Linked DNA regions of Macaca mulatta. The protein of the gene in region 1 purifies or fractionates together with the protein of each later gene. This does not show direct contact. Links are inferred from orthologs where the notes say so. Each region holds a gene or a part of one and is shown on either strand. Other genes may lie near its edges.

Region 1 (4,456 bases):
AAACCAAGCATCCTTTACTGCAAGATCCAGGTGAGATAGGAAAAAAGGTCAAGAAATGCCAACGTCTGGAATAGACATTTTTGTTTTTTTAACATGATTGACCCTCATTGAAAACTTCAGATTACTTTCAAGAGGGAAGGTATTTCAAACATACTCAAGGCTTTTCCAAAACAGTTCTGAATCAAATTTAAACACAAGTACCTAAAATTCTGAAAAGAGGCATGCAACAGTAACTTTTAGCCTAAATGAACATGAGTTACACCCCAGGTATGTGCAGGCTTCATGTACAAGCTCTCTTCTGATACTTCCAAACGGGTATCAGCTTGAAAATTATTCAAGAGTATATTACTAAGAAGAAATCACAGAAACTAACAGTTACTATTAATAAATGTCTCCATCACTGACACCAATAATCTGGGGGAAGCAAAACAATGTAGTTGGGGTAAATAGGAGCAGAGTCTAAGATCTCTTTGCTTAAACATACCTACTCTGAAGGTAGTAAGTGTGAGTGGTTTCTGAAGTATTTAGCCAAGTGCCTTGTGGATGGGAGTTGAATAAATGGTAGGTGTCATTCTTCTTCTTCTTTTTTTTAAAGTTTATTTCTTCCTCATCACATTTACAATCAATTATTCCATTCCTCTCTGAAATAGATCCCAGTCGGCCCTAACGTACTAACAGACTACCTCAGAAACAGAATTGTTCTCAATGACCAATGATGCCAATTTAGTCCATTAGGATGAAAACGTAAGATATATTCAACATTTACAAATAACAGGCTGGGCGCGGTGGCTAACACCTGTAATCCTAGCACTTCGGGAAGCCGAGGTTGGTGGATCACCTTAAGTCAGGAGTTCGAGACAAACCTGACCAATATCGTGAAACCCCGTCTCTCCTAAAAATACAAAATTACCGGGCGTGGCGGCGCATGCCTGTAATCCCAGCTACTCAAGAGGCTGAGGCAAGAGAATCGCTTGAACTCGGGAGGTGGAGGTTGCAGTGGGCCAAGATCAAGCCACTGCACTCCAGCCAGGGCAACAAAAGCAAAACTCCGTCTCAAAAAACAAACTAACAAATAACAATCAAATTAGTGTAACTTTCGATCAATGACTTTGGATTGTTACTTTGAGGATTGATTATCAGGGCCTGTGGGCCCCAGGCTGTAGTGCTTTTTTTAAAGTTCCTGTCACCCTTGTACACCTTTGTCACTGGTAGAAGAGGAAGGTGCCACCATGCTCTGACAACTGGGAGGACTAAACTGTGCTCCAGAAATCCTAATCAACTTTCTGTTTGTAGTAACTGGATACTGTGACAACTAACATAGACCACTCAAAGGTCTTCTGGCTCCGTGGCGGGGGGTTCTCAGCAGTTCGGTTATACTGAGGTTGCCAGACCCTGGAGAACAGAATCCCAGCCCCACTCCCTTCCCCAGGAATGGACTAAAATTTGTCACACAATAGGTGCTTGGAAAAAAGTATATGAAAGACAATTCACTACTAAGGATCTTTTCAACACATGAGGGCTGCTAAAATGAGAATCCCACTAAGAAAATACTGATTAAGAGGAAGATAAAAGACTACAGTGGCAATCAACATACGAGGAAAAAAATACTGAGTCAATAACAATCAAAGGCACAAAAGGATCGGGGACACATTGCAGACACACTTCTGTTTCCGAAGCCCACCCGGCACCAAACAGGTCAGGGCACTCAAGGCGGGCGAGGATCCGCCCTCCCCTGCTTCCCGCGGGTGGGGAGGGGTCATCGCAGGGTAGGCGCTGGCGAGGGGTCTTCTACCGTTCGGGCAGTATCAATTTCCTCCACTCACTTTTCTGACGCTGCATTTAACAAATATTTCTGGAATGGCTACATTAGACACTGCGTGTTAGGCTCTGGGTTTCCCAGTCTAGAAGGTTTTAGGCTTGCAATAACTTTCAAACATGGGAAGTCTGTTTTGCCTTGGGCATTTTTAAAAGGACAAACATCGATCGGGATACCGATAGGTCGGCGAGCAGGCAGCAAGGCGCGGCTGCACCCAGGAGGAACCCTGGCTCCAGCAAAACCCACCGACTGAGGGTGAATCACGGACGGGCAGGGCAGCCGGGGCCCCCGGGCCCAACCTTGGGGACTGAGTCATTCCAAAGCCACTGCTGCCGGAAACACGCACTGAGCCACAGGAGTCCCGTGGGCGCGGCCCGGACCTCACTTCCTCGCGGTCACCTGGGGCCCTCTGGCCTCCTGGCCAGACCTGCACGTGCCAAGGGGTCTCCAGCCGCAATCCGCCTCCTTAGTGCGGATACAGCACGCGTCACCTTTGGGGCCGGGAATGGGTGGAAGCAGCTGAGGGTCTCCGGCCTAGACCAGCTCCCAAGGGAGATCACTACCCCCGCTGCGGGTGGATCACTTCGCATACGGAAAGGCAGCGGCGGCCAGCGACCCGTGCCTTCTGCAAGGGGCCCTCTCTATCCTTGCCTAGGGCCTGAATCTGGATACAGAAGGGGGCCAAGGGCGGACCCCTTCTATTCCCTCGCCTTCCTCCAGTCGGGGCTGCCCGGACGGGATGGTGCAGGAAGGGCAGCGTGGGGGCTCCTCACGCTGCCCGCGCTCTCACATCTCCCGGGCGCTCCCCGCGTGCGTGCAACCCCCCGGGGCACAGGGTGCGGGCAACGCTGGATACCGCCACTCCGCCCTCCAGGGGACCCTCGTCCCTCTCTTCCCTTCCACCAGGGCAGGCTCCACCGCCTTGGGCGCGCCCAGGCCGCCGCTTCCCTCAGTCCCAGGCCGAGACGCCGCGTCCCTTTCCCCCGGCGATGCAGAAGGGCGGCCTCCGCATCTCCCGCCACCGCCTTCCCCAGCTACAGAGGCCGCCCGCGGCGCCGGCGCCCCGGCCTTCCCCGGGAGCGCGTACCTTGCTCTCGATCTGCTTCACCATCTTTGCTGCTGGGGTCTGAGGAGCGGCTGTAAGGACCGATGGAAACGGATCCAAAGCACCAAACCGAGCTTGAGTCGCCGCTTGCTCTCCTTTTATAAACGGGCACGCCCGGCGTGCGTGTGGCGGGGGCGCGCGCGCCCGCCCGGACCTCCGCGCCCGCCGCTGCGCCCCGGCCACGCCCCGCCCCTGGAGCCTGCGAGCCGGGATCGGGGCGGGGCTGGCGCAAGCGTGGGGCGGAGCTCCAGGGCTTCGGCTCCTGCGCCTCCAAGCCTAGCTCGCGCCCCAGCTGGAAGTGGGGATCAGCACTGCGCGTGACGGTGGGAGGCAGGGAGACGGACAGTCACCCCCAGAGACACAAGGTCTTTCCCAGGTCACCTGGGGATGCGTCCGCCGCGCCTGAATCGAACGCGCCCACGCTCGAGATGGGGACAGTCCTGGGACCGCCCAGGCAGGGCTGGATTCCTCGAAAAGTCCCGCCACGCCCTGGCCATCCCCAGCCCCGTGAACCTCACAAAGTGCTGAGTAACGGTGACCAGGAAGTTTCTCGGTGTGTACGTCCTTGCCTCCTCTCCAGAATTTACCGTGACCGTTCTTTTCTCTAACCTCCTTCTGTTCTTTCATTTTCACTGCTGAACCCGCTGCTCCAGCTTGACACAGCGGTTTAGTGAGGTAGAAACGACCGGGGGACTGGTTGGGCTCTTGACCATCAGACAGCTGCCTGTGAGATGGAAGTGCCGCCGGATTGAGCTCTGCAGCTTAGTTACGCAGTTGTGACCCTAGAAAGGTCCTGACCTCCTAGAGTCTCAGTGTTCCCTTCTGTAGAACGCGAATCATGATGGTCTCAATCTCACGGTGGTGTTATTTTGAGGGTTAATAGTGCTTGCAAAGTGATCAGGACCGTGCTTGGCACATAGTAAACACTCCATAGATAGTTCTTATTCGGTGTCTTGCGGGGACTGATTGGGCCTGGCCATCTTATACAGCATTTACAGTGGGACAGCACGCAAATTTGTGTGAGTTTTTTCAAAGGAGGCAGACTCCTGGAACAGAAGTCGGAGTTTGCATTGATCCAGGAATGCCTGTTGCAGGTTATGTCTGGCAGGGCTGGGGATTGTGGAAGGTGGGTATGTTAGCTGACCTTGTGGCGCCAGGAAGGCCTGTCAGCGGCTCAAAGTGGAGGTTGAAAAGCTGCTCACAGGAACGAGAGCCGGAAGGCTGGGAGGGAGAGTCCCAGGTCTGTATTTTCAGAGCTGAGCTGTTCCCAATGAAGCTGCAACTAGGTGTGATTGCCTAGGGGTGGTGAAATTGCTGCCTGCCTGCCCCCTAGAACCCCTGGCTTCCTTCTTTTGCTCTTTCAGACAGAAGAAGGGAGGAAACCAGAGGTTTTGAACCTATTGTGCAAAGTTTCTAGGGGGCTGAGGAGCACGGAGCATGAATATGGATATAGGCAAGGGACACATTCTAAAGACAGCCCTAGAGGGAGGGAAGACAGACTGCCCTGAATGCAGCAACGTTCCCAAAGAGAGGGA
Region 2 (4,244 bases), on another chromosome or scaffold:
GCACACCATCACGACTGGCTAATTTTTTTGTATTTTTTTAGAGACTTCACCATGTTGGCCAGGCTGGTCTCGAACTCTCGATCTCAAGTGATCCGCCCGCCTCGGCTGCCCAAAGTGCTGGGATTACAGGCGTGAGCCACTGCGCCTGGCCTGTGATGCTATCTTTTCAGGAAAGGAAAAAAAAAAAAATCTTGAACACCTATGCTAGGTGCTAGGAGATAAAACAAGGAACGCAGACCTGCTCCCTGTGTCTTGAAACTTAAAATCTTGCATGGATAGAGAAATGAGATGGAGAAAAAAGAAAACCTAAAACACGTAAACTAATTTAAAAAAATAATTGAACATTGTATTAACTGTAGGAAGAAAACAAACCAGTTGCCGAGATTAATTACGCTTTGGGAACAAATGCGGTTCACAGGAGTACCAAAGATTTAACTGTAACCTATTATAAGAACTGAGTACTGGACATTTTCAGAACAGTAATGGCACATAATTCACAGCAGTGCCAAAGATTTAACTGTAACCTATTATAAGAACGGAGTACTGGACATTTTCAGATCAGTAATGGCACATTATGCATATGTAGATGTTAATTTTTACCGACACCCAAAAAGACATGACAATAGCAATCAAGGAGTACCCACTGCCTCCTGGCATCGATAGAAAAAGCCCATCTGCAAGTTAAGTGCCAAGCCACCACGAGCCCGTTAGCTTTTACGCATGTGCAGTGAGTCATCTTGAAGTAAACTGGAATGCCATGTTTATCTTCCTCTCAACCAGCTTCCAGAACGACTTTTAGCTCAGTTGTACAACAGACGGCCTTACCCTTTAGTCTTTCAACAAACTTATCTCATTTAAGGTACCTAGACCCACACAAAAACACTTTCTGCCCTCCACATCCCACCGTTAAGGCTCCAACTACCTTTAATATGGCGGAGACCGAGCCTGCGCAGTACAAGCAGAGAAGGCAAATAACAGTTTCTGGAATAACGTTACATGCCCTTCTTCCGGTATGGAAGACTATACCATTCCCATACCCTATAATTCTGTTTGTTCTATTTCACACATACAATTTTCCGAGACAAGATGTTCTAATTTAAGTCACAAGAAGATTCGTCTCTCCCTATTCCTGTAACTGCTGCTTATATCGTCACGTCCCGGAAAGGTCCCTGTCTCTTCCCTGAATGGTCTCTACCAAGTTCACCTCCGGTTCTAGGTGTCATGGCTGCCCCGAGAGTCTAGGTAAGAGTTTGTTCCCGTGGTGCGGAGGGTCAAGGCCCACACCCGGAGACCTAGCGAGGTAAAGTTGCGTCTTGGTTGTAGAGACGACAACTTCTCCGCTTTCTCTGCAATGGCGGCGTCCGGGAGCGGTATGGCTCAGAAAACCTGGGAATTGGCCAACAATATGCAGGAAGCTCAGAGTATCGATGAAATCTACAAATACGACAAGAAACAGCAGCAAGAAATCCTGGCGGCGAAGCCCTGGACTAAGGAGTGAGGAGGTCCCTGGCGAGACGCAGGGGAGGGAAGGGTTGGCGGGAGTTTAAGAGACCCAGAGGGAGAGGGAGGTGAAAGGGGTGAAGAGCTTTCACCGACGGGGAGGGGAACAGAATATGCGCCTTGGATCTGCAAGTAGAGCCTAAGCCCTCCGCTGGGGCTTTGACTTCCCTTTCTGTCGCTTTAATCCATTTACCCCCGGATGATGTAAGGGGAGAACAACAAGCGGTGATTTAAGTTGTCACTTCTGAACGTCCGTATTGTCATATATGCCGCACACCCTGCCTTGAACCCAGTGTCGACATGCACCTTATTTGGGTCTTCAGCTATTCCCTTACTGGGGACCGCAGCTGTTTTCAGAAATCGAGTCAGCAGCTCAAGGTCTCAAAAATAGCTATGAGCTATTTTCTTTTATTTTCTTTTTTAACTAGAGGTGGGTCCTCGCTATGTCGCTCAGGCTGATCCCGAGCTCCTGCCTTCAAGCGATCCTCCCACCTTGGCCTTCCAAAATGCTGGAATTACAGGCGTGAGGCCTGGGTCTATAATAGTTTTTTGATTGCTGATAATTATTTCGGAGGCACACGGAGGCTCTACCTGGTCTCTACAATGTTACTCCATCAGTTCCTATAAGCCAGAAATTTTAAAAATAGAGCTTACGACTTTTTGCCCTTCAACAATACCCATTTTTCCCTGGGAGTGGTGACAAGTCGAGGGATCTTTACCCATAATATTTATGTTTTCCTGAGAGCATCTCCTGAGAGATTTCCTGCTCTCAGGAAAAGATAATTATTACGGGCTATGTTTGAGAGAGAGTAAAAGGAGCACAAAAGCTAATGGTTAGATAGAAATGAGAGCTGCAGTCAACAAGAGGACATACTTCTACTGCCTCACAGTTTTTTTTACAAAGCTAGCCTTGTCTCTCAGTATTCAGATTCCACAATGGTGAATTGCGGAAGCATCTAGCTAGAGATTTCCACGTCATTTAATCTTTATGACAACCCAGTACAGTATATCCATCCTTTTTTTACAAATTAAAAAACAAGCAAATACATTATGTAATTTATGATCACACTGAGATAAGTGAACTCTTAGCTGAGCAATAGTCAGACCTAAGATCAAACTTCACAGCTGTCACTAACTGGTTGACTGACCTTAGGAAATTTACTTATCCATCTTCATTTGTCATAGTATGGAAATAAGACCTACCTATTGGTATTGTCATAGAGATTAGGTGAGATAATGTATAAAAAGAGTCGTCTAGAATATATGTAATAGGAGCACAGTAACTTGTCTTTCTTCTTTTCTCCAGTAAAGGGAGAAGCCAAGATTTCGATTCATGTCTTGATTTCCAACATGAGGTCTACACATTTTTCAGCTTTTGGTTGAAATCTGGCAAAGCTTAGGAATTAAATTTGGATTCTTTCTGTGGGCAGACATCTAAAAAGGCTTTGTAGAGACGTTGACTGACTGCTCTGTAAGGCTGCTTAAGTTGCTTGGTTGTCTGCTTGTTTCTGTAGCAGGTTGTGCATTTTAGGTTTGTGTACTCTTAAATATTTGGAAACTGTCGGCCTGCTTCACTGTCTAATTGTGGCTCTAATTATATTCATCCTAGCTGTCTTGGGCTGCACTAATGAGACCAAAATGTAATTTTATTCAAGAGTTTAATTCATTGATGACCAACTCTGAAATAATGATCATAGAAGACTAGGATATTATGGCTACTTTTTAATTTGAGGCTGATATAACAGGGAAGCCCACCCTTCAACACTCTGTTCTTTGAGAGTAGGGTTAAGAGACAGGTTAATAATGCTGATAACAGCTAGCACTTATTAGGGTTCTAGTATGTGTAAGGTGCTAAGCTAAGCACTTTATATACATTATTTCATTTACTTTATCCTAATAACAATTATGACTATCCCTATTTACAGAAAAGGAAACCTAGGCATAGACATTACATGGTTGTCCCAATACCACAGCTAGGGAATGGCAATGTCAAGATTCAAACCTTAGCAGATGAATGTCAGAACCCACATTCTTAACCATTAGGCCAGAGGTTAGGCCTCAGAACAGTTAGGCACAACCATCCAAGCAGTCAGAATCCAAGATTGGGTGATTCCAGATTAATGGAGAAAAAGTCTATTGAACTGGTCATGTTACTCCCTTATTTAGCATATTAAAAAACTATTTCAGACTTTTCCCCTCCCCCAAGGGGGATGCATTGCAGGACTATAACATACTTATTGTTTCCAGCCTGCAAAAACTGTCCTTTTCTACTTTTTCTCCCCATAGTCTACACTCCCCTTCCATCGCTGTAAATTCCTTCAATACTTACTCTTTATCTTCATAAAAACTTTTCTGAAATTTTACTTTATATAAGAAATTTAATTACATTGTGATTTTGTTTTGCAGTCACCATTACTTTAAGTACTGCAAAATCTCGGCATTGGCTCTACTGAAGATGGTGATGCATGCCAGATCAGGAGGCAACTTGGAAGTGATGGGTCTGATGCTAGGAAAGGTGGATGGTGAAACCATGATCATTATGGACAGCTTTGCTTTGCCTGTGGAGGGCACTGAAACTCGAGTAAATGCTCAGGCTGCTGCATATGAATACATGGCTGCATACATAGAAAATGCCAAACAGGTAAAAATGTTGTTTCTTATAGTTTAGTAAGTGCAAGTTAGAGTCTCAAGGTGACTTTTGAGTTTCTAGACTTAAAATTATCCCCTTTATAGGAAATGTTATA

What was found.
Region 2: the proteins of TXN (region 1) and COPS5 purify together in Homo sapiens (affinity purification with western blotting; 3 studies listed by BioGRID and IntAct, with this or other methods). This does not show direct contact. The link is inferred for Macaca mulatta from reciprocal best matches to the Homo sapiens genes TXN and COPS5.

What each region holds. Positions count from the first base shown.
Region 1 is NC_133420.1:48,154,244-48,158,699, reverse strand, and holds the start of TXN (thioredoxin), read right to left. Parts: upstream 3,032-4,456; 5' UTR 2,928-3,031; coding exon 2,904-2,927; intron 1-2,903. UniProt on the Homo sapiens protein: Participates in various redox reactions through the reversible oxidation of its active center dithiol to a disulfide and catalyzes dithiol-disulfide exchange reactions.
Region 2 is NC_133413.1:77,753,205-77,757,448, reverse strand, and holds the start of COPS5 (COP9 signalosome complex subunit 5), read left to right. Parts: upstream 1-1,218; 5' UTR 1,219-1,351; coding exon 1,352-1,494; exon of another isoform or gene 1,495-1,502; intron 1,503-3,906; coding exon 3,907-4,141; intron 4,142-4,244. UniProt on the Homo sapiens protein: Probable protease subunit of the COP9 signalosome complex (CSN), a complex involved in various cellular and developmental processes.